Alligator mississippiensis: one gene and its partners. The main gene of each other region encodes a partner of the protein of the gene in region 2 in a complex. Links are inferred from orthologs where the notes say so. Each region holds a gene or a part of one and is shown on either strand. Other genes may lie near its edges.

What was found.
Region 1: the proteins of PFN2 (region 2) and VASP are in contact, whole or in part, in a crystal structure (PDB 2V8C), measured with the Mus musculus proteins. The link is inferred for Alligator mississippiensis from reciprocal best matches to the Homo sapiens genes PFN2 and VASP. Residues at the interface, in NP_062283.1 of Mus musculus: Gly3, Trp4, Ser6, Tyr7, Asn10, Cys13, Tyr30, Trp32, Met131, Tyr134, Ser138, Phe140; in NP_033525.2 of Mus musculus: Gly165, Pro166, Pro167, Pro168, Pro169, Pro170, Gly171, Pro172, Pro173, Pro174, Pro175, Pro176.
Region 3: the proteins of PFN2 (region 2) and DIAPH1 are in contact, whole or in part, in a crystal structure (PDB 2V8F), measured with the Mus musculus proteins. The link is inferred for Alligator mississippiensis from reciprocal best matches to the Homo sapiens genes PFN2 and DIAPH1. Residues at the interface, in NP_062283.1 of Mus musculus: Ala2, Gly3, Trp4, Ser6, Tyr7, Asn10, Ala28, Tyr30, Trp32, Arg108, Met131, Tyr134, Leu135, Ser138, Phe140; in NP_031884.1 of Mus musculus: Ile635, Pro636, Pro637, Pro638, Pro639, Pro640, Leu641.

What each region holds. Positions count from the first base shown.
Region 1 is NC_081838.1:110,317-117,857, forward strand, and holds the start of VASP (vasodilator-stimulated phosphoprotein), read right to left. Parts: upstream 3,067-7,541; 5' UTR 3,021-3,066; coding exon 2,986-3,020; intron 1,870-2,985; exon of another isoform or gene 1,642-1,869; coding exon of another isoform or gene 1,599-1,641; intron 1,365-1,598; coding exon of another isoform or gene 1,306-1,364; intron 1,128-1,305; coding exon of another isoform or gene 1,081-1,127; intron 870-1,080; coding exon of another isoform or gene 800-869; intron 264-799; coding exon of another isoform or gene 125-263; intron 1-124. Other genes in the region: RTN2 (reticulon-2), read left to right, coding at 125-263, 800-869, 1,081-1,127, 1,306-1,364, 1,599-1,641. UniProt on the Homo sapiens protein: Ena/VASP proteins are actin-associated proteins involved in a range of processes dependent on cytoskeleton remodeling and cell polarity such as axon guidance, lamellipodial and filopodial dynamics, platelet activation and cell migration.
Region 2 is NC_081830.1:61,625,854-61,632,972, forward strand, and holds the start of PFN2 (profilin-2), read right to left. Parts: upstream 3,092-7,119; 5' UTR 2,938-3,091; coding exon 2,806-2,937; intron 2,580-2,805; exon of another isoform or gene 2,156-2,579; intron 1,574-2,155; coding exon 1,381-1,573; intron 1-1,380. UniProt on the Homo sapiens protein: Binds to actin and affects the structure of the cytoskeleton. At high concentrations, profilin prevents the polymerization of actin, whereas it enhances it at low concentrations. By binding to PIP2, it inhibits the formation of IP3 and DG.
Region 3 is NC_081832.1:40,894,871-40,901,794, reverse strand, and holds the start of DIAPH1 (protein diaphanous homolog 1), read right to left. Parts: upstream 3,008-6,924; 5' UTR 2,968-3,007; coding exon 2,863-2,967; intron 1-2,862. UniProt on the Homo sapiens protein: Actin nucleation and elongation factor required for the assembly of F-actin structures, such as actin cables and stress fibers. Binds to the barbed end of the actin filament and slows down actin polymerization and depolymerization.

The DNA of each region.
Region 1 (7,541 bases), on a different chromosome or scaffold from region 2:
CCCAGCCACTCACCCCCAGTTCTGCCCCTGCCCTGGTCTCCAGCCCCAGGCTCCCCCAGCAGGGGTCACTGTGGGGGGCAGAGGTAGAATCTGATTTGTTGCTGACCCCCTTTCCCCGCTGCAGGCCCCTGCTGGACACAGATGTGTCGCTGTCCCCAGAGCAGCTGAAGCATGTGGCTGAGCGCATAGGGCAGCACATGGCCGCTGGTGCCCGTACCCTGCGCCACCTCTTCCTTGTCGAGGACCTCGTGGACTCCCTCAAGGTGCCCTCGCCCCTGACCCCCAGTAACCCCCGGTGACCTCTGGGAGGGTCAGCTGCCCTCAGGACGTACCCCCAGGCTGCCCCCTGTGACCTCACACGAGGGCTGTCCCGGCAGGGGTGGGGGTGTGAATCCCGATGCTTTGTGGGGTGGAACAGAGCTGGATGGGGCAGCACGGTGTGGTGACTCCACACTGCTGCTGGCTTCACGTCCAGCCACTTGCCACCCCCCTCCTCGCTGCCAAATCTGCCACCGGCTTCCTTGTGTCTGGGGGCGGGGACCCGCACAGGCTGCTTTGCCCTGGGCCCCACACCCTGCTCAAGTGGTCTGCCTCACACCCACCCCATGGGCAGAGACAGCCCCAATCCCACCCCCGGGGCTGAATCCATGCCAGACCCTGGTATCAGCCCCATCCCTTCCTGCCCATGCTGTTGTGCCAGGGCCTGATCCTGCCCCCAACCAGGCCCTGGATAACCCCCACCACAGGCCCTGGGTTAGGGTAGGAGGAGCTGTGCTGACCCCCCATCTTGCCCCCTCAGTTCGCCTTCCTGTTCTACATCCTCACCTATGTGGGTGCCGTGTTCAATGGGCTGACACTGCTGCTCATGGGTGAGAGGGCACTGGAGGCAGGGGCAGGGGGGCATCTGGGCCCAGTGGGAGAGGGATGAGGGGAACCATGGGGGAGGGGGTGGCATGGTCTGGCTGGGGCTGTGTGCAAATGGGGGGGAGCTGTGTGAGGGCAGGGTAGGGAGTGGCCCAGGCAGGGAGGGCAAGGGTTTGGGGGGGCATGGCTTAGTCTGATTGTCCTGTTCTCCCCCAGGTGTGATAAGTGCATTTACCTTCCCTGTGCTCTACCGGCATCACCAGGTGAGTGTGTGCACATGTGTGCATGTGCAGGGTGGGGAGAAAGCCTTGAAGCAGAGGGCAGATGAATGCCAGTGTCCCTGGGGGAGACAGGCTGCTAGCCCTGTGTCCTGCTATCTCAGGCAGGGAGGGGGTCTCCAGGGGCTCCCCACCTGCCTCACCCCCAGTCCATCTCCTGCAGGCACAGATCGACCAGTACGTGGGCTTGGTGAGGAACCAGCTCAGTCACCTCCGAGCCAAGTGAGTGCCGTGGGGGGGGGCTTCCAGCACTGCCCTCCCCCCCAGAACAGCACCCCTAGTGCATGGGGGCTGCCCTGCCAGCTGGCAGGGGGAAATGAGGGGGGTCATGTGTAATGCAGTCCCCAGTGGGGGCAGGGATGAGGGTAGGGACTCCCAGGGGGCAGGAACAGGGTTGGGAGCCCCAGGGGGGCAGGGCAATGCCCCGGCATGTGACATGTCTCTGCCCCCCTCCAGGATTCAGGCCAAGCTCCCAAGTGCCAAAGCAAAGGCAGAATGAGCATCCACCCTGCCCCGCTCCACCTGAACCCCCTCTGCTGCCACCCTGGGCACAAGTTGCCCATGGGGGGATGCTTGGCGCTGATGGGACGGGGCTTACCCAGGGATGGGCTGGGGATGGGGGCAGCTTGGTGCTCCGGGGCACGAGCTGGGGCAGGAGCCACTCCCTTACCCATGCCCACCCCGGCTGTGTGGGGTTTACACTTTAATAAAAACTCTTGTCACAGAACCGGAGTCCTGTCCATGGAAAAGGTGGGGATGGAGCTGAATACACCGCATTCTTCTCCCCTAGCTGGGAGGGAAGAACCCAGGCATCTGGGTTCCCATCCCCAAAACCCAGGCATCCTATCCCCATTCCCCGCCCCCCTCCTGCCCCCCCAACTGCTCAGGTTAGGTGCCCCTCCCCCGCAGCCTGGTGCTCAGAGGCTGCTGTGGCTCCCTGAGACCCCTGTCCTGGCAGGGGGGAGCAGTGCCAGAGGGGTCTGGCCAGGACTCCTGGGTTCTGTTGTTGGCACCAGGCAGGTACCTCAGAGGCAAGCTACAGTTGGCCTCCCTCCACCTTCCCCAACCCCCTCTCCATCTGCCCCGGGGTGTGGGAGCTGATTGGGCACCTGCCTGACATGGGAGGGGGCAGCCAGGCCATGCTGAGGAGGGGGTATCAGACAAGGCCTGAGCCCTGATCCTGGGCTGGGGAGTGAGAGATTCCCCAGAGCCATGGCTGCCCTAGAGGAGGACTTCCTCCCTCCCCTCCTCCCCCATGAGCCATCCTCACCCCAAGCAAAGTGAGGGAACCCAGGAGTCCTGACTCTCACCCCCACCCCCCTCATCCCAGACTAAACCACCGCAGCCCACTCCCCTCCCAGACAGGGGATAGAACCAAGGCGTCCTGGCCCCCACCTCTCTGCCCTTCCTGGCTCACCTGGGCCAGGCTGTGGCCCTCACCCTGAACAGAGGCCCCAACCCCACTCCTGGGGCAGGACTCCTGGGTTCATTCTGGGCGGGGAGGGGTGCCCCTGTTTCGCTGCGCTGGGCCGCACGGTGGCGCCTCCGGCCCGGCCAAGCCTCGGGATCCCGCTTCGCATGGGGGGGGGGGCAGCAGGGCCAACCCTAACCCAGCCCCGCGTCCGCCTCCTCAACACCCAGAGCCAGTGGGTCAGCGGGGTGCCGGGAGCCGGGACTCCTAGGTTGCAGCTGCAGCTGCAAGAGGTCTAATGCAGGAGGATCAAATCCATCCCGGTCGCGGCGGGAGGAGGGGCCCTGGGTCTCTTCAGGCCACTGCCCCTCCCCGCACCTGCAGGGGTCCCCAGCCCGACCCCGACCCCTATCGGGACTGCACAGCACGTACCCCGCATCTCCCGCCCTGAGTCGTGCCCATGCCATCGGAGCCAGGCCTGGGACCCAGGGGCTGCATCGATCCGGCGTGAGCAGAGACCTGGGCGCCGGGACTCCTGGGTCCCCCTGCCGGAGAGGAAGAGCCTGATCCAGTCGGGAATCCCGGAGCCCCTTCAGCCCTAACCCTAGTCCCAGCCAAGGTCTCGCCGCCCGCAGGCGGCTCCGGCCAGTCATTCCATGCAGGGAGTCTCCAGCAGAGGAGCTCTGCTGGGAGCGGCGATGAGCCGGCAGGGAAGGCGTTAACGCGGGGGGGGGGGAAGAGCTACCCCCCCCAGCCTTGTAGGACCCAGCCCTACCCAACCCTTGCATCGATAGGCGTCTCCAGCCAACCCCGCCCCTCCCCTATAGAGGTCCCAACCCTGCCCCGCCTCCACAGCTATAGGGGTCCCCAGCCCGGCTCCTACCCCACCCCTACCAGGTTCTGGTCCCGCTTCTCCTCTCTCCCTCCCCTGTAGGGTCCGGGCTCTGGCACACCCTCACCCCTATACAGTCCCACCCACTCCTCCACCACACCTACAGGACCCCTCACCCACACCCGTCTAGGCTCTGGCTCTGCCCTTCCCCCACCTCTACAGGGCTCGCGGCCCTGCCGCTTCCCTGCCCCTATAGGGTGCCGGCCCCGCCCCGCCCCACCTCTGTAGGGGTCCCTAGCATCCTCTCCTCCATATCTATAGGTCCTAGTTCCGCTCCTCCCCTATAGGGCCCTGGGCTCGCCCCTGCCCCTACCTGGGTCGCGGCCCGGCCCGCACAGCCCGCCCCCCCCCCCTCACCAACCCGGCCGTGGGTCTGGGTCCCGGCCGGCGGTGCTGACGCCGGGCAGCCCCGCAAGGCAGCTGCCCCCGCGCTATTCTTAGCGCCGCGCGGCTAAAAATAGCGGTCGAGGCCGGGACTGACGCCGCCGAGCGCAGGGGCTGAGTCAGCGCTGCGGGGCCGGGCAGGGCCGGGCCGGCCGAGCTGGGATGCCTCGGTTCCGCGCCTGCGTGGGGAGCCGGGTCGCCTCGGTCCAGTCTCAAATGCAAGGGGCAGGGGCTGGACGCCTGGATTCTGTTCCTGGGCGGGGGATAAGGGCCGGGACGCCTGGGTGCCATGCCTGGGGGTGGAGGCCGGAACGCCTGGGTTTTACCCCTGGCCCTGGGAGGCGGGGCTCCTGGCTCCAATCTCATGGGGGGGGCAGGACGCCTAAGTCCAGCACTTGTAGAGGAGGGATAGAGTTGGGGGCGGCCAGGACGCCTGGGTTATTTTCTTGGCTCTGGAGGACTCCTGGATTCTCCAAAGAACCCTCCGCCCGGGTTCCCGGCAGCAGGTGCAGAACTGTGCCCCCGCCAGCCCTAAGAATGGGACCAGCCAAAACCGCGGGGATCCTGGCCAAGGCCCCCGGGGCTCAGTGTGCTAAGTGTGTCCTACCCAGGGTGTGACCCCCTCCAAGGGCACATTCAGGCCCCCTGCACCTGGAGAACCCAGCCCTACCCCACCAGGCTGAAAAGCATGGAGCTGGGGTCTCAAAGCCAGCCCCACCCCCCTCGCCCCCAGCCGTCGGCTTGGCCCCTGCTCCAGCATTGCCTCCACCGCAGATACCGAGTGCCCCCACACCCCACGCAGGGGGACAACCTGTTGGGCAGGGGAGGGGGTGGAACCCAGGAGTCCCAAGGCCCAGGCACATGAGCGCCCCAGAGCAAAGGCTGCCCTAGAGAATGCTGGGAAATTTCCACCTCATCTGGGCTACATCGTGTCATGTCTCAGGGCAGCAGGGCTGGGAGCTATTGCGCCCCCCCCCACTGGCTCGTGAGGCTGGATGGAGGGGGTCCAGCATGCCTGGCGGGGAGGGGCTGGGGCTGCCAGGCAGGTACCAGGCCCCTGGACTCTGAAAGCAAACCACCTATGAGTTCCCAGGCCCAGAGCCCCATGGCTGGGCACAGCCTGTGGGAGCACTGGCTCCATGCCCCCCTGCAGCCAGCTGGGGCATCCTAGCCTCAGACACTGGCCCCTGGTGTCCCCGTCCCAGGCTCAGAAATGTCCACACAAGGGGTCCCCACCATCTGATCCCCCACTTCCCTCTGCAGCTCCTCACACTCGCTCCCCAGCCCAGCACGGGCAGCTCCATGGCCTGGCCAGGGACCCTCATAGAGCCACATGCCCTATGAGGATCCTCTGTGATGGGCACTGAGTGACAACCAGACTCCTGGGTTCTCTCTCCTGCCTGCTGGACTGGCTGAGGTGTGGGGCCTGGGGCTGCCCTCTTGGCCCACCCAAGTTGTCATCTCCCTGTGCCATTCTCTGTGGGTTGTGGCATTCTGGGCAGGGCTGGCCCTGCATTTGGGGGTGGGGGGGGGGTCTGTGATAGGGCTCCCTCTATGGCTATCCCCCCCCCCCCCCCGCCGCGCAGGGGCAGAGTAGGTATCTGGGGCAGCGCGACTCTGCTTTGGGATCTCTGCAGATAGGCACAGGGCAAAACCCATCCTGGAGTCTGGCCGGCAGTGGAGAGAATGTCCAGAGGTGCCCCCCCCACCCTGCCCCGTAGCTCTGCTGCACCCTGTTATCCGTCTGTCCGTCCTTCTTCACATGTTCCCCCCTCTCCCCTGACACATTGAGGAAAAGGCTCGGTACTCCCCACATGGCCGGCTGGCGGGCGAGGTGGTGGCAATGTAGGTGCCCAGTCCCCCGCGCAGGGGAGTCCTGGTGCATCCGCACGCCCGCAGGACAGCCTGGTGCCCGGGGTTAGAGCCTAGTGCCGGGCGGGAGAAGCCCGGGGTCCAAGCTGTGCAGCGGGGCAGCGAGGAGGAGATCCCAGGGCTCCCTGCATGCCCAGCGGGAGATGCTCGGTGCCCCGGTTCCTGGTGAAGAGAGATGTCCGATGGGGGTCCCTGCAGGAGCCCTGTGCTGGGTGCAGGGGAGATCCTGTGCCCGGGGAAGGGGCGGGGTGCATGTCCAGTGCTGAGGGAGGTGGATGTCTGCTGCCCCGGGGTGGGGGTGGCTGCATGCCCAGTACCCACTGCTCAGGGGGCTGGATGATTGGTGCCCTGGGTGGGGGGGGCGGTGCATGCTCAGTGCCCGGGGATGGATGCCCAGTGCCCAGGAAGGTGCATGGTGCATGCCCAGGGAGTACATGTCCGGGAAGGGGGGGGGGCGGGGTGCATGCCCGATCCCCAGTGGGAATGCATGCCCGGTACCCAGAGAGGTACATACCCGGTGCTGCATGCCTGATGCCTAGTCCCCGGGGGAGGGTGCGTGCCCGGTGGTGCATGCCTGGTGCCCGGGGCGGGAGTGCATGCCCGATGCCCGGGGGGGTAGGGGGGGGCATGCCCGGTGGTGCATGCCCGGTGCCCGGGGGGGGGGGGGGGGTGCATGCCCGGTGCCCAGCCCGGTGCCCCCGCCCTCTCCCGCTTCCAGCCGCGGCCGCTATTTTTAGCAGCTCCGAGCCAAGCCCGAAATAGCGCGGCCCGATATGGAGCGCGATGGAGTCACAGCTTCCGGCACCGACGTCGGCGGCCGCGGCTGGGCCGGGCCCTGCGCTCACGGCGCCCGGGGTCTCCGCGGCCGGGGCGAGGGGCGGTGCTGAACTCCCCCCCCCCCCCCCCCCGGCTCTGCGCTGCCGCCGCCTCGGGCAAGAGGCTGCTTAAGGTGCGGGGAGGGGGGCAGAGGGGCAGCCAGCTGGAGGCGGGGGGCAGGGCCGAGGGCTGCGCTGAAGCTGCTTCTGGGGGGAGGGAGAGGCAGGGGGTTGTGTGTATCGGGACCCCCTCCACAAACACTCTCTCTCCCCCCCCCCGCCCTCTCTCTCTCTCTCTCTCTGCTGGAAGGCAGCTACTTCTAGGGTGGAGCGAGGAGGGGAGTGGTACACAGGGGACCACCCCCCCACACTCTGGTGCTGGAAGGCAGCTGGTTCTGGGGTGGAGCCCCGGACTGTGTACACAGCCCCCCCCCCCCCCACGTGCTGCTCTAGGGGGGAGCTGAACTGAACTGGGGGATCCAGCTTGGGGACAGGCGTTGGGTAAGGGGCCCCTGGAGACACTGTGGTGCTGGGGAGGGGGCGGTTTCTCCCAGAAGCAGTAACCCCCCAACCTCTGGGGCAGGAGCCAGAGGCTAGATCTAGGCCCCACACTGATGCCCCTACCCTCACCCCACTGGCTCTGACAGCCAGGTCCGGACCTCACGGCAGAAACTGAACCCAGGTCTTCTGGTGCCGCCCAGTGCAGCTGCTTACTGGGCCCAGGGCCAAGGCTGGAGTGGGGCCAAGCCAGGGCTGGGGGGGTGCACACACGCAGGCCTGCCACACACATACACACAAACTGTGCACACCACACATGCACACAGACCCACACAGAGTCCTGCCATGCACACAGACACACGTGCTCACTGCCCTGCCCTGCCCCACCCACACACAACTGTGCACATACATGCACATGCATATATAGAGCACTGTCATACACAGAGACACACACACACACACAACTCTGGCCCCTGGACACACACACAGCTGTGCATCACACAACCTCGTCTGTAGCTGGCACACAC
Region 2 (7,119 bases):
TAGAGACTGAAGGTCATAGCTGTAATGGGTACACTCTAGTCCTACCAACTTTTGTTTTGTCTGGTTCCTTACTGGTAACCAAAATGCCATTGTTATCATTATTAAAATAATTTAAAAAAAAAAGCACAAAAAAGCCCAATTTAGCTTAGGTCTTAAGGCCTTAAAAATTTTTTTTATCCTCTCTAGTCAGATGAGGACATCTGAATCTTAGTATTAATCTTGTTCTTCCTCTTTCCATTCAGTTATCTAGGCTACAAAGTATCTATGCTTTACTAGGGAAGCCTGTCCCAAAGATGTAGTTAACAGAACAGTATATTCTAACTGCCACCAGATGTCACTAGAATATAGACTACATAAGCATTCTGGTCTTCTCAAGCACAATGGCTCTTAGTTTATTGAATTAGGAACGGTGGCACTGGAATCAGTTTACTATAGATACACTGCCTACATCATAACTATATTAGTGAGCTCTTAGAAGTGAATTTAACTCGTAGGGGTACCAAGGCAAAACCGTTGTAAGCATTCTCTGGTTAGGCAAGTCTATTATTCTTGTAAGGAAAGGCTATTTTAGAGTCAGATATCTTTACATAGTCTGACTAATGTTATACTACTTAGGTTAGAATCTCCATGTTATGTGAAGATTCATGAAACAATATTTTCTCTAGAGTTACTTCGTTTGTGAACGTTGGTTAGTGACGTAACATTCACAGAAAACCAAAACATTTGAGAATGCCAAGCTTAGTCTTGAATATACTTGTGTTGCTTGTACCCAGTTTTTTGAAGTCTAGATAGAGTTTAGCTTCTTCCAAGTAGCATTATGTTACAGAAATTTAGGGAAGGTGCACTACCAGTAATTAAACAAGCTTACTGTAAGTAACTGAGGTATCAATCGGATGCATTTCAAAAGCTCTCAATAGGTATGAGAAAAGTTAGAGTAAGACTTGTTAGATGTCCTGTAATTTAAGACTACTTCATACTAGAAATTGACAGCAGTCACTGCAGACCAGGTTTACACTACACTTGCTAATTCAACAGGATGCATTAGCACCCTCCCTCACTGGATGTTCTGAACACCAAACATTTTAAATGCAATATGCCCAGGGCAAGGGGGTAATATTGCATCTCCTTCAGCTGCAATATGGGCTACTCTAGAGTTTGTGGATACCGTTTGATAAGTATGGACAGATTTGATAAGGTATGGCCAAGAGCTCTATTACAGTCACTTATTTCAGTTACACCTGTGACTGCTAGACATGTACCACAGCCAACTTGCAATTTTAAACTGAAGGTCTCATTATAGAGATAACGCAAGTGGTTTCAGTCCAGTTTTGAAGGCAGGATTCCTGTTTTACTAAGGTCAGCTTCAAAAGGACACCTTACCTCGGCCAGCTCTGCCTACAGCAACATTGTATGTTGGCTCGCCACCTTGGCTCTTTGTCCTTATGTCCATCGTGCAGTCACCATCCACATACAGGCTATCTCTGATCACAGAGCACTTCTTTGCACCAAGAGTCAGACCATTGGTGAAGAAACCCTCGCGGTCTTTACCTACAATCATATCAATTTCTACTGGCTGTCAAGGGGAAGCAGGAAAGAAAAGGAAAGGATAAAAAAAAAGAAAGAATCTGATGTTAGACACCAGCAAAATCCAACCTGGCTGCTTACAGTGGTTTCCTGAAAGGGAACTCTTAACAAGGATCTGGCCCCTTGCTCCTGGCAGTGGGCTAAGTATCATCTTAAACACAGGTCTAAGTATCATAGTCCCAACAGTCCTAGCCTGAGGCTACAGGGTTTGCACCGGAGCCAGGTCCCTCGGGGAGAGCCAGCAGCACTGAGTCACGGGCTGCCCCACCGCAAGGCCACTGCCACCAGCTGGGGATGAGTCAGGCCGCCGGTCCCGAGCCGCCCAGCCCAGGGCCAGCAGGGCTGCAGCCAGGTGCGGGGCATTCCCTCCGCAGCCCGCGCCCCGCGGCGGCCTCCGCGCCCGCAGCCCCTGCCCCTGCCCCGCGCTTGCGTAGCAGCGGCCCGCGCCGGGAGCCGGGCTGAGGCCCGGCCGCCCCTGGCCGGAGGCGGGCTGGGAGGCTGCGCCTCGCACTGCCGAGTCGGGAAGGAGGCGTCGCCCTGCAGGAGAACTGCACCGTCATGGCAGGCCCGGCCATTTCCAATCACGGCCGCCACTGCCCGCCGGCCCGCCCGCACAAAGGCCGGCGCGGAGGCGTCCTCGGGCACCGGCCGGGCCGTGGCGGCCGCCGCCCCCGCACGCACCTGCCGGCCGGGCCCGGCCCTGCAGCGGCCTCAGCCCGGCCCGCGCCCCCTCCCTTCCCCCTCCCGGCGGGGCCGCAGCCACCGCCTGCAGCACGGCCGGCCCCGGCTCGCGGGGATGCCCGGCTCGGAGCCCTGCCCCGGGGGCTGCCCCTCCCCCGGGCCGGGCCGGGCCGGGCAAGGGGCTGGTGGGGGGAAGGGAGCGGCGCGGCGCGGGGAGAAGGGGAGAAAAAGCCCAGTGGCGGGGCGCCATCTTGGCCATGAAAAACATGGAGCCGCGGCCAGGGGGATTCACGAACGCCTCCTACGCCGCGCACGTAAGTGTGTCCGCAGCGGCTGGGCCCGGCGCAAGGAGTCCTACGCAAGTCCCGCCGCAGATCCCCGCGCCCCCCCCGCCCCGCCGCAGCGCCCGACCCCGGCTCCGGCCCGGCCCCGGCCCCGGCCCCGGCAGGCCCCTCGCCGGGCGGCCGCGCACAAAAAGCCCCGACAGCGCCCAGCGCCCGCTGCAGTCCCCCAGCCCCGCCGCCGCAGCGCCGCGCTCACCGTGATGCTCTGGAAGATGCCGCCGGCCGTGGCTGCCCAGACGTACTTAGCGTCGCAGTAGCCGACAATGGCGGCCTCCTGGCAGCAGCCATCGCACATCAGGTTGTCCACGTAGCTCTGCCAGCCGGCCATGGCGGCGACGCGAGCAGCGAGCGAGCAGCGAGGAGACAGGAGGGCGGCGGCGGCAGCGGCGCGCTCTGCACTCACTCGCTCCCCCCCTCCCTCCCGCTCACACACGCGCGGCGCAGCCCCAGCCCGAGCCCGCAGCGGCAGCGCACGGCGAGCGCGGGGGAGGGGGCGGCAGGGAAAGGAAGGGAAGGGCCAGGCCGGGCCGGAGCGAGCGGGTGGGTGGGTCCGCCCGCGCAGTCGCCGCCGCCCGCCTTTAACCCCCGCCCCCGCCCGCAGCAGCGGCAGGGCCGGGACCGGCGCCGCACCGGAGCGAGGGGGGAGGGAGCTGGGCGGGCCGCAGCGCTCTTTGCGCGGATGCTTCCGCCGGGTGGAGGGATCCGGAGCGGAGCGGAATGGATGGATGGCGGCGGCGGCACCGGGGTCCCCGGCGCCTCCTCGCCTCGCCGCGCTACGAGTGCGCGTAAGAGACGCGGGGCTGAGGCGGGGCCGCCGCCGCGGGGCGCGAGGGGCAGGGGCGTCCCTCTTTCTCTCTCCCTCTCCCCCTTTTCCTCCCTCCCGCGGGTCTCACCGAGCTGTTCCCAGTCGGGGCGCTCGGCGCAGGGCAGCGCCAGGGAGCCGCCGCGGGGCCGGGCTGGGGAGGGAGGGAGCTGTCCGCGCTGACGCCCGCGGCGCTCGGGCTTTCCCTGGTCCCAGGCTCCACTTGAAGCTCGCGGGGCTGCGACAGCTCCTGTCCGCCTTCACTGCCTCGGCGTGAGCTCCACCGCAGACGGCCGGAGCTGCTCGGCTGTGGTGGCCCCGGGCGGCGCAGGTGCCTGGCCCGCCCGGCCCTGGGGCGTCGCAGGCAGGCAGAGCCCCGCGGGCGGAAGGACCGGACAGCTCTGCCGCGCTCACTGATGGGTCTGGAGGCGACTCGAGTCGCGGCCACAGCAGCTGCGGGGCTTTCGGCAGGGGAGAGCAGGGCTTTGCTCCTTTCCCTTCCTCCCCCCTCTCTTTGCTTCCAAGGCAGGGCGCTTTTACCCCAAACAGGCTGCTGCTCAGGTCCAGCCTTGTCGGCTACTTTGCATTTTTCCCCCCGATGTTGAAGCTTAACTTCCCCTAGAGACGAATTTCTTTCCAGCTACCCGACACACATTCATTACTTTCAGGAGCTCTAGTTCAGTTGCCAAACTTAAATGTTCATGTGTCAGGGTAGATTCTCAGTAGGGTCAGCTGTTGTTATCCAGCCTCCCGCTGAAAACCTCTACGCTGAGGTGCCAGTCTCCTCAGCTTCTCTCTGTTTTGGTTTAGTCAGTTAATGCTTTTCCTTAGAGTTTCTCTGCCAAGGATTTCCTGTTTTTATTTTCTGTTTTCTTCTTAACTGGTCATGGTTTGAACATCCTGGCAGAAAGCTCAGCTTCTGATAACTCCTTGCTGGTTCAAACTAAATTACTGCCATTCAACAGTCCTATGTTACTAACTACCCTGCTGCCTCAGATCACTGGAGATATCAGAAGTTGAAAGCTCTTCTGCTGATATATTGAAAAAGGTGTGTCAATTACTGCTTTTTGCATGAATATGATAAGCTCCCACTTCTATCACAATAACATTTGTAGTAACTTTCTCCCATCAGTGCAGTAAGGATAACTTTCTATAGTACAGGTTTTACTCTTCAAGTTTCCTTGAGGGGTTTTTTTTCCTGGAGAACAAGTTTCTTCTCCAGTTCCTTGGTGTAAAAAAAAAAAAAAAAATCCCAGTTAGCTGTATTTATTTTCTAGAGTAACTTTGGCAGGAATTCTGTTCAGAAGGCCTCTGTACTAAAATCTGCCCGAGCATTAAGATGTATTGGGTCTGCTGTTTCATTTGGTTTGAGTTTCTCATTTTTGTATCTTTTAGGACTTCCAGGGAAGACTGAGTGGATGTGAGATTGTTTTTAATGCATTATACCTGAGAACCTACTTAAATTGCTGTTTTGCATTTTTTGCAGAAATTGTGAAAATTGGCATTGGCGGTGATATCCCAGGAAATTGACCAAAAAAAAACCCCTTTAAAAAGAAAATGCTGGCTCCTCAGTGGGAATCAGCGGTTCTTGCTGCTGCTGTGGCCTGCCATTGCAGCCCACCAGGGAGGGGAAGGCACCAGCTGGTGGGCAGCACAAGGAGCATCAGCCAAGATACTTCCCCCTCGTACCTCTTTACCAACCAGTGCCAAGGGCCAGGGCGGCACAAAGAGTTGCCAATAGTCAAGATGTCAGCTGCCCCTCATCCTTCCTCCCCCAGGGCCTCTCCACCAGTCAATGCTGAGGGGAGGGGCCACCACAAATGACTACAAACTCAGCTCTTGGGGCTGTGACCAAGCCACGAAAATTGCTTTCTTTCACTGCAAGTTGGGTAGGTCCCTAGTTATACATTGTGTGATTGGCCCAGGGGTCTGATCAATCCAGGAACCCATGTCGTTCAGCCTTGTGGGTTCCCCCTGGATCTGAAAATTTGGTGGTCTGGAGGTGATTGATGTTTACAATGTTAGTTGCTGCTTCCCTGCCGCCAGATTTCTGGACTCACGCAGAGCCTAGAAGGCCAGATAGCATGGCCCTGCGCATTAGATCAGCAGGGCTGGGACAAAGCAGCATGAGGCCAAATTCAGGTGTGCAGTGCTGGGCTGAGGCAATGTGGTGTCTGATCTGGGCACGTGGGCTTGGGCTGAAAGCTTCATGGGGCTGAGCTGAGGAGAGATTGCAGTGTCTGTAACATCTTCCCACTCACTTGCCTATAACAAAACATAAGGAAATGAATAACTGAATCCTTGTCAGGAGGTTATCGACACCTTGGTGAATACTGTCATTGTGGTAGATAACCTAAACAACAGTAGATTCCATGACAACTGAATACATTTTTGTTGCTGAGAGGAATAAAACGGACTCAGGATTTGTTGTAGGCATATGGATTAAATTCCATTTTACATGTTTATAGAGAGAACTTACTTTGTTCTTTGTTCTTTCAAACGCACAGCCACCTTCTGTATTTTGTATCCACATAGTCTTTCCCCTGTGAATTTGGCCTTAGTTAGGAGCCGATAGCTTTGTTGTATTTTCAAGCCAGCTGCAAAGATGCTTATGTGTCACTAAGTTTACTGATAAGTGATAGGATCTACATTTCATTTGGGATTTGTAATTAGGTTTGTTTTTTTTTAATTCTTGTTGGAAGAAGGGAAAGGTCTCTTCATCCTTTTTATGTGGTCCTTCATATATCAAAGCAAGCCTCACCTTGCCCAGATAGTAGTCTTTAACTGCTAATATGAAAGAAGGTTAGACAGCTTATTTTCAGGAGCCTGACCAAAGTTCAGGTTTCTCTGGGCCAAAATTACAATTCCAGATAAAACTGAGCAAACAGAAGTGGGTATCCTGTTAGCCCTTAAGAAACAGAGCGGGTTAGTGTGGGAGTAGTTTTTGATTTGCAGCCAGCTTAGATGATATACATAGTGTTATCCTTTGAGTGGTTAGAGATGAGTTTCGTTGGGATGGAGGGCTGATTGATGCACACATTGTGGTGGCTATGGTATGAGTAGAAATTCCAGGTTCTTAGTATATTAGCTGAGAACTACAGAATGAATTAACACCTGGTATTCTTGTTCTTTTAAAGTTATTTCTACAGCCTGCTCATTGTCTCTTATAACCAAAAGACAATGTCGTACTTCATTTGTCTAACATCTCTGTAATAGTCCAAGTTCCTGCAATGGTATCTAAGATCCTTCTGTGTTTCACCATAGGTATTCATTGCCAGCTAGGAGACAGAGGTAGGTTTAGAAAACGACCACCGCTTTGATGTTGCATATGATGTTTCTATAGCTAGAAGGGAAATTTTGTCGCACAGATTTTGGGCCCTAAACAGCTAAAAAATAATGTTTGCTCAGAGGGAAACACATCTGAGGAAATATTTTAGCAGCAATCTTGTAGTGGTAGGACTTTTGGTTCACTGATGGCTGGTGAGTGAGTTCCAGAGGAGGGCTCTGCTATCTGCTGGCTCAGCTCGTCTCATGTCTAGCACCCATGAGTATTGGATGTCCAGTACTCGAGAATGACAGTTTTCTAATCTCATTGGAAACACCAGTCATGGCATTTTTAGGAGAGCCTCTAAATATAGCTGTCTACTAAATGTAGCTCCTAATCAATTAACCCAATAGTACTTTGGTGAAGGCATGTAAATAAGCACA
Region 3 (6,924 bases), on a different chromosome or scaffold from region 2:
CCACTAGGTAACTGTTTTAAAAATTAATGTCTGATCATTAAAAAAGAATTGTTTGATATTCAGTCTTTTTTCCTTTTCTCCGAGAGAGAGCAATTCCCAAAATTTGGATTTTACAAGTTATAAAGGGTTTACTTCATTCAATAAAGATAAACTGGAAGTAATTTGGCTTTCAAAAGATTTTTCAGTTTCAACATTTTTAGGCTGTGCTGGCAAAGTGATTCTGTGTTGCTGTTACACTTTAAGATGACCGTATCTATTATTTTTTCTACATACAAACACTAGCAACCCATATTTTTTACTTACACCTTCACACCCTTGTGGTCTACTCCCTGTCCCATAGTGGTCAGTTAGTCAAACTTTACTATAAGCTTTACTATCAAGTTTTCCTCAGACCAGTCCATCTAGCCCCCTAACCATTTCTAATCTTCTCTGAATCACCTCCAATTTAGGATATCCTAAATGTAGACAAATGACAAGCCTTTAGCTCATCTAATAATAACTCTTTGGCTCCCGAGGCAGCAAGTACATATTTTTGAGGGGAAACTATTTTCACATAACTATTAATGAATTTCAACATCCAAAAAAACAGTTTGCATAATTACATTCAATCTCCCTTAATTCAGAGGAAGTTGACAGTAATATTTTTATTGTAGTATTTTAAATTTCCTACCCTATACTTGTGAAAAGTTGATATGTGTTACCCAAAGTGCTACACCGTTTCTTTCCAGAGATGGGTAACATTTCTATGATCAATTAAGTGATCTATGTATCATACAAAGTACTTTGTGATGTGTTTTTGAGATTCTTTTGGAATAAAAATGAGCTACATAGATGTAAGTTATTACAAACCTGCTAATACCACATATTGTAAGGGTATCTAACTCTCTTAAAGATCTTAATACTTTCAAAGCTTCCTTCTGTTGCATGAGACATATAGTAAGAGACACTCCCTGTGATCAGCATTTCCTTCCTGTTTCTTTTATGTGACTTATGGACAGCAATAAGTGGATTACCAAACTAGACTGCATTCACCAAATCCAATACTCACTGCAACCTGGCCAATACACTGTTAAGCCCCACTCTACATGTAAATTTACCTGAGAATAGAACAGAAAGGTTTAGCAACAGTGCCAACTCCTCTGTGATCAGAGAGGGACACTGCCCACATGATGCTTTGAATGAAGTAATGCAGCTTCATTCAAAATGTGAAAAATACACTGTGGCAGGGAAAAGAACCTACATGCAACCAACCAGCAGTCCCAAACACCAAAACATTAGACACCCACCTCTTAGCAAAGGCCCCTGTACATTCAGTGCCTTGAGCACTGTTTGATCTATAGGCATCATCTTGTACTCCTACTCTTCAGCTAGCACCCTTGGGGGACACTTTTCTTGCATAAATAAGATTCCAAGGGTCGAAAGGTCCACAGCAGTCCCACTGATCTCTTTTCCCAAGAGCCCCTTCAGTTAATCCACATCCCTCTGAGGGTTTACCATCAGAGCCTGCCTAAGGCTGAGAAAGGTACATACTACTAAACAGATCAGTGACCCCTCATAACTAGATGGAAACAGTCAACAATCAGAAACCTTAATCTGTGCTACCAGGGCTCCCATACAAGCAGCTACAATGAAAAAAATATTGTTCAATAGAGACTCCTGGAGTTACATACGTGCCACAAATAGGAAAGGATCCAGAAAGACCAAGTAAGCCAATCAGTGTGCAGACCTAACATCTTCCTCCAAATCCTTACTTTTAATGAGAACAAATGGTGTAATGTTAACCCAAGTGAGCTAACAGTTTAAAATCCTACTGCAGACCAAGCAGTACATACCTTTCATACATGTCAGCAGGTCAAGTTAAAATCCGAGTTAAAAACAAAAGGGGAATCTAATCTTTAACTTGAGCTGCTAACTTCCATCAAAATGACAAGCTTCCTCATCTTCTCTGGGATTTTTACTGGAGTTAAGGATACACTTTTTTTTAAGCCTTTTTCAAAAGATGAAAGAAATCAAATGGACCGCTCTGCACTGACCAAACTGAGACCAGAACCTACAAGCATTCAGACTTTACCGGGGAACATTCCTCTTTCTTACAAATACATTTCAATTTGGATCTTGCTGAGGGACCTACATGATTTGCCTACAGCAAAGGCATCAAACACGTGGCCTCAGGAGCTGTTCCCTGCAGCCTGCCTGTGACTGTAGCCAAGGAATGCAGGGCTGGCTAGCAGGAGGCAGGGAACTGGGGCCATGGGGCCAGCTGGGCATGGTCACTGGTGGCAGGGGGCAAGCAAGCGTCCAGCTCACAGCGGGGGGTGACAGTTGCAACAGGAAGAGCCCCCCAAGATCCCACCGAAGGCCGCGGCCCCACCGGTATGGCCCAGGCAAGTGACATTTCACGAGCCAGCAAAATGGTCAGCAAGTAGGGCGCTGCTCAAAGGCAGGGCGAGCTCTGCCCGCGGGCTGAGCTCCCGCCATAAAGACACGCTCCCTCCAGCCCGGAGACAAGTGCGCGGGGCGGCACTGCGAGCCCGGCCCCGGGCTCCGCTTCCCGCGCCGCCTCGAGCGGGACCCGGCCTGCGCCGCCGGAGCTGAGCTCCCGGGAAAGTCCCCGCGGCCGCCCCAGCCCGGGCAGGAGGCTGCGCGCGGCGCCACCGCCCGGGGCTGAGACAGAGCGAAGTCCGTCCCGGGGGGGCAGGGGCAGAGGCGGCGACCGCGCGGGACCCGCCGCACCCGCACGCCGGGGCCTGGCACCTCCTCGGGCGCCGCCGGCAAGGAGGCACCTGCGGCAGGTGAGGGCCGGGCCAGGCCGGGCCGCGCAGCGCGGGCGGGAAAGGCGGGGTCCGGCCCCGCGATACTTACGAATTTCTTGGACTTGCCAGAGTCCGCGGGTGCCGCCGCCTCCTCCGGGCCCTTCCCCCGCCGCTTGTCCCGGCCAACGCGCGCCGAGCCCCCGCCGCCCTCCATAGTGCCGCCGGCTCCTCAGGCCGCGCCGCTCGCTCGCCCGCCCGCCCGGCCGCCCGCTGCAGCCGCGCCCGGCCCCGCCCGCTCATTCCGCAGGCAGCATCTCATTAGCGGACGCGGCTCCTCTCATATTCATGAGGGGGCACTTCCGCTTCCGGCCTGCAAGAGCGCAGCCGCCCGGGCGCGGAGGGGAGCTGCGCCTTGCGCGCCCGCGGCCTGGAGGCAGCGCGGCTCAGTGCTCGCCCTGCCGCTGCTCGCGCCAGGCCGGCCGGCGGCCCGGCGCCTTTGGTACGGCGCCGCTGCAGGGCGCCTGTCTTGGAGACTCGGGCCCAGGGGAGCCTGTCCCTGCCGCCGCCCAGCGCCGCAGGCCGAAGAGCAGCGGAGGCTTAGCCTGTTGTGCCCATCCCATCCCGGCTGTGCTTCTCACTTGCTGCCGCTGGAGAATCAGAGGCCACTAAAAGCAACCAAACTGAGCGGGGACGGCTGTGGCTGACCTCTACCTGCAATTCTTGCAACAGCCAAGGGAAAAGCCTTTTCGGAGGCTGAGGCTTATAGGAACCACAAAGGCACTTGTTGCAGGTCTGTAAGAAGAACCTGCCTATAATAATGACAAAACAGAACTGGCTGCATGCCAAAGCCAGCAGGGACACACATTTGGGACAGGAGGGGTGAGCCCCTGCATGCCTTGGTTGCAGAGCTGCTTCTCATTCCTCCTCTTCAGTAGACTGATCCAGCCCATCTCCCTTGTGCTTAACAAAAGGGTCAGCTGTCCTGCCCCTGCTGGGGCCCAAACCCAACCACCAGCCTAACTTGCCTGAGCTCTACGCCCCACCGTTCAGAAGCAGAGCCTGGGAGGAGTTCTGTGCCAAAGAATTCCCAAACAATAGGAATAGGGTTTACTTGTGATGGACTCCCTCCCCCATATTCCTAAAATTTCCTCAGCCCCCCCTGCCTCAAATTTAATCCAGGTTAGGAGTTAAAAATTGCTCAACTGCATTTCGTTATTTAAAAAAGGAAGTCACCTTATAGGTGGCTCAGCTGAAAATGCTCTTGACACTGAAAAACAGCTGCTGATGGTTTCTAAAGTTGAAGACCATCTGTATTTATTAATTTTCCCAGAGCAAAAGATACAATATCACCAAAATGAATGGGGTATTTTTTAGGTAAACTATCAGATTTTTCTGTCATTCAAACTCAACTCCTACTTGCCTGTTAAGAGCAGTAAAATCAAAGAACAGGCCTCTTGCAGAATAAATTACTATTAGGGAAGCACAAAATGCTGTACCCTTCTTCTCTCAAGAACAGCTTTCAATGTCCTCTGGAGTAGTATACAAGCCTGGCATTTTTTGCTGACAAACAGAAAACTCGAAGCCCATTTTCTCCAAGGTGTAGCCAGCCAAGATATTGCCAAAAGGCTTCCTGAATTTCTATCCCATCCTCTCTAGCCAGGCCAGTGAGAAAAACGTAGCTGGAGAGTGGGATCACTAATCCTACACTGCTTGCTGCTAAGCCTTATAATTTCTATCAAGAGGCTGAACATGTCCTGCTGGAATCTGTGGAACCTTTTATTAAGAATTGTTATGCTTTGAAGTAGAAACATTCTAAAGTAGGAGACATTCTAGGAATGTTAATCCTGTTATTTAACCTATTCAGATTATTCTGCATTATTTTTACCAGTTTATATTAAATAGGTTTTTGTTATGTGAAAGAAAAAAAGACTATAAATGCCAATGCAATAGAAAAAATAGCATATGGAAATACCTTCATAATCTATTTCGCATTTCTTGACTACCTCAAGCTGTAAGAACTCTCATGAAAAGGTCCTAAATGCAGTGAGAAAATAGAAATGAGCCATAGGGAAACAAGGGAAAGATGACACTTGGAACATACTGTACCAGTCACCGGAAGGTTATTGTGCATAGGCAAAAACCTGTTATCCTACAATACTGACCTCACTCTAGAACTGTTTCATCAGGACTATCAAGAGAACAGCCCATACCCATCACCTTCCTGTAATGATCTGTAGATCAGACAACTGTAAAAAAAAAAAAAAAAAAAATCCAAGTGTCATCACAATTGTAGAAATCTTCCTTTCTTCTATCCTGTTGTTGCCAGACCTACAATGTAATTTAATCCCAGTAGGACCAGCTTTCTCTGTCTCCTGAGAAATGAAGATGACTTCCAGACCAGAATTGTAATATCAGGCATTTTCTTACTAATGAGGATCTAAGGAAGTAGTGCCCTTGTCAATTAATAAATCCTAGCTTCTTTGGTAGGCTCCAAAATAAACAATTCTTCAGGGGATAAAAAAAAATCCTTAGGAAAGTTAGTTATGAAATTTCTCTCTTCCCAAATGCTCCAAATATTTCAAAAGCTATGTATGCCAAAATGAACCAGATAATCACTCCTATAACTCTACTGAGAAGACTGAAATGTAGTCTTCAAAAGTCTTCTGAAGAATTAGATTGAGACCTAATTTGAGGCTTTTCAAATATTATACACAATTGCTTCACTGTCGTATGTTCAAGATAATGATCACTAAATTCTAATGATGAAGTACTTCCATGTTTTTTCCTTTATTGTATCACTGCAATAGATCTGGTACACTGGTCTATTTTTATTTATTTGTAAATAAATACCATAGTTGTTATGGACATTTTGGCGATTTTGTTGCATTGCTGTCAAAATAATTAGTGAATGAGCCTCTAAATTGTAAATACTGCCATAATTAGTTTCTTTGGAAGCCTGATTTTTGTTGCCACTCTGGCCAACCTTTGTCACCTGCCCTTCTCTTTTTAATTGCTTAATAAAAGGATTCATTAAAGCAATGGGGGGGGGCAAATTTTGTCAGGCATGCCACAAATTGGATCTACATACTCCTCAAGTACCACTCTGATCCCCTTCTTCTGCTCAATCTGCTACTCCTGTTTCCTGCCCTGTGCTCCCTGCCCAGTCTGCTGCTCTGCTTTCTGCTTCCTGTCCAATCTGATGCTCTGCTGCCTGTCCTCTTCCTGATCTGCTGAATGCCACACACAGAAGCTGCCTACCCCACTTGTGGCATATGTGCCACAGGTTGGCAACCCTTGCTTTAAGGGACTGTTACACTTGTATATCACAATTCATGGATTTTTGATCTGATGTGAATTTGATCCTGAGCAAATTTTGAAGGTTCCTTTCAAGTACAAAAGTAGTGCTCATATTATAATTTGGCTGAACTTCTGTGGCCACTACTTTTATCTTATGCAGGTGAAATCCTGCTAGTCTCCCCTTCTATTATTTGGCAATGAAATAATATGGATTTGCAACCTTATCCAAAATCTTTACAAAATTGCACCCTTTAATCTATTTAGTGCCCAGCTTGTTTGTTATATCAGCTAAATGAAACAGCTGATCAGAAGACAAGAGAATGAGTAGACTGGATGTTGAAAAAGCACTTTAATTTGGGATTGGGCACTTAAGTCCCTCCGTGCTCTCTAAACACACAGGCCTTTGTTGCTGCAGAGAGCCAAGATATTTTGTAAGTTTCTCATACCATTTGTGGCATTCAAGTGAAACCTGAAATTCAGGGGATTTCTGTTCTGAGATAATCAAAATGTCATGTAATCATTCCTGTAAATCCAAGCAGCCATTTTCCTAGCCAAGACTTAAGAGCCTCTTGCATTAAAGCAGTGGTTTTCAAACTTTCTCAAGTCATGGAACCCTTTCATATCAATTCTGCTGTGAAACTCCTTCCCCTATCCTGTGAGCTGACATGGAGCCAAGCAATCTGGGATGGCAGTGGCAGCACACCACCTCCCAGCCTGCGCCATTACCCCGTCTCTTTGTGGAACCAATGATGACCTATTGTGCAACAGTCTGAAAAACCACTGTATTAGAAGAAAGGCAGCCACTGTTAATGAAGTCTGCCAAGATTCTACATGGAGCTTGCCTTAATCTTTTCTAAACCATTACTCTTCTATT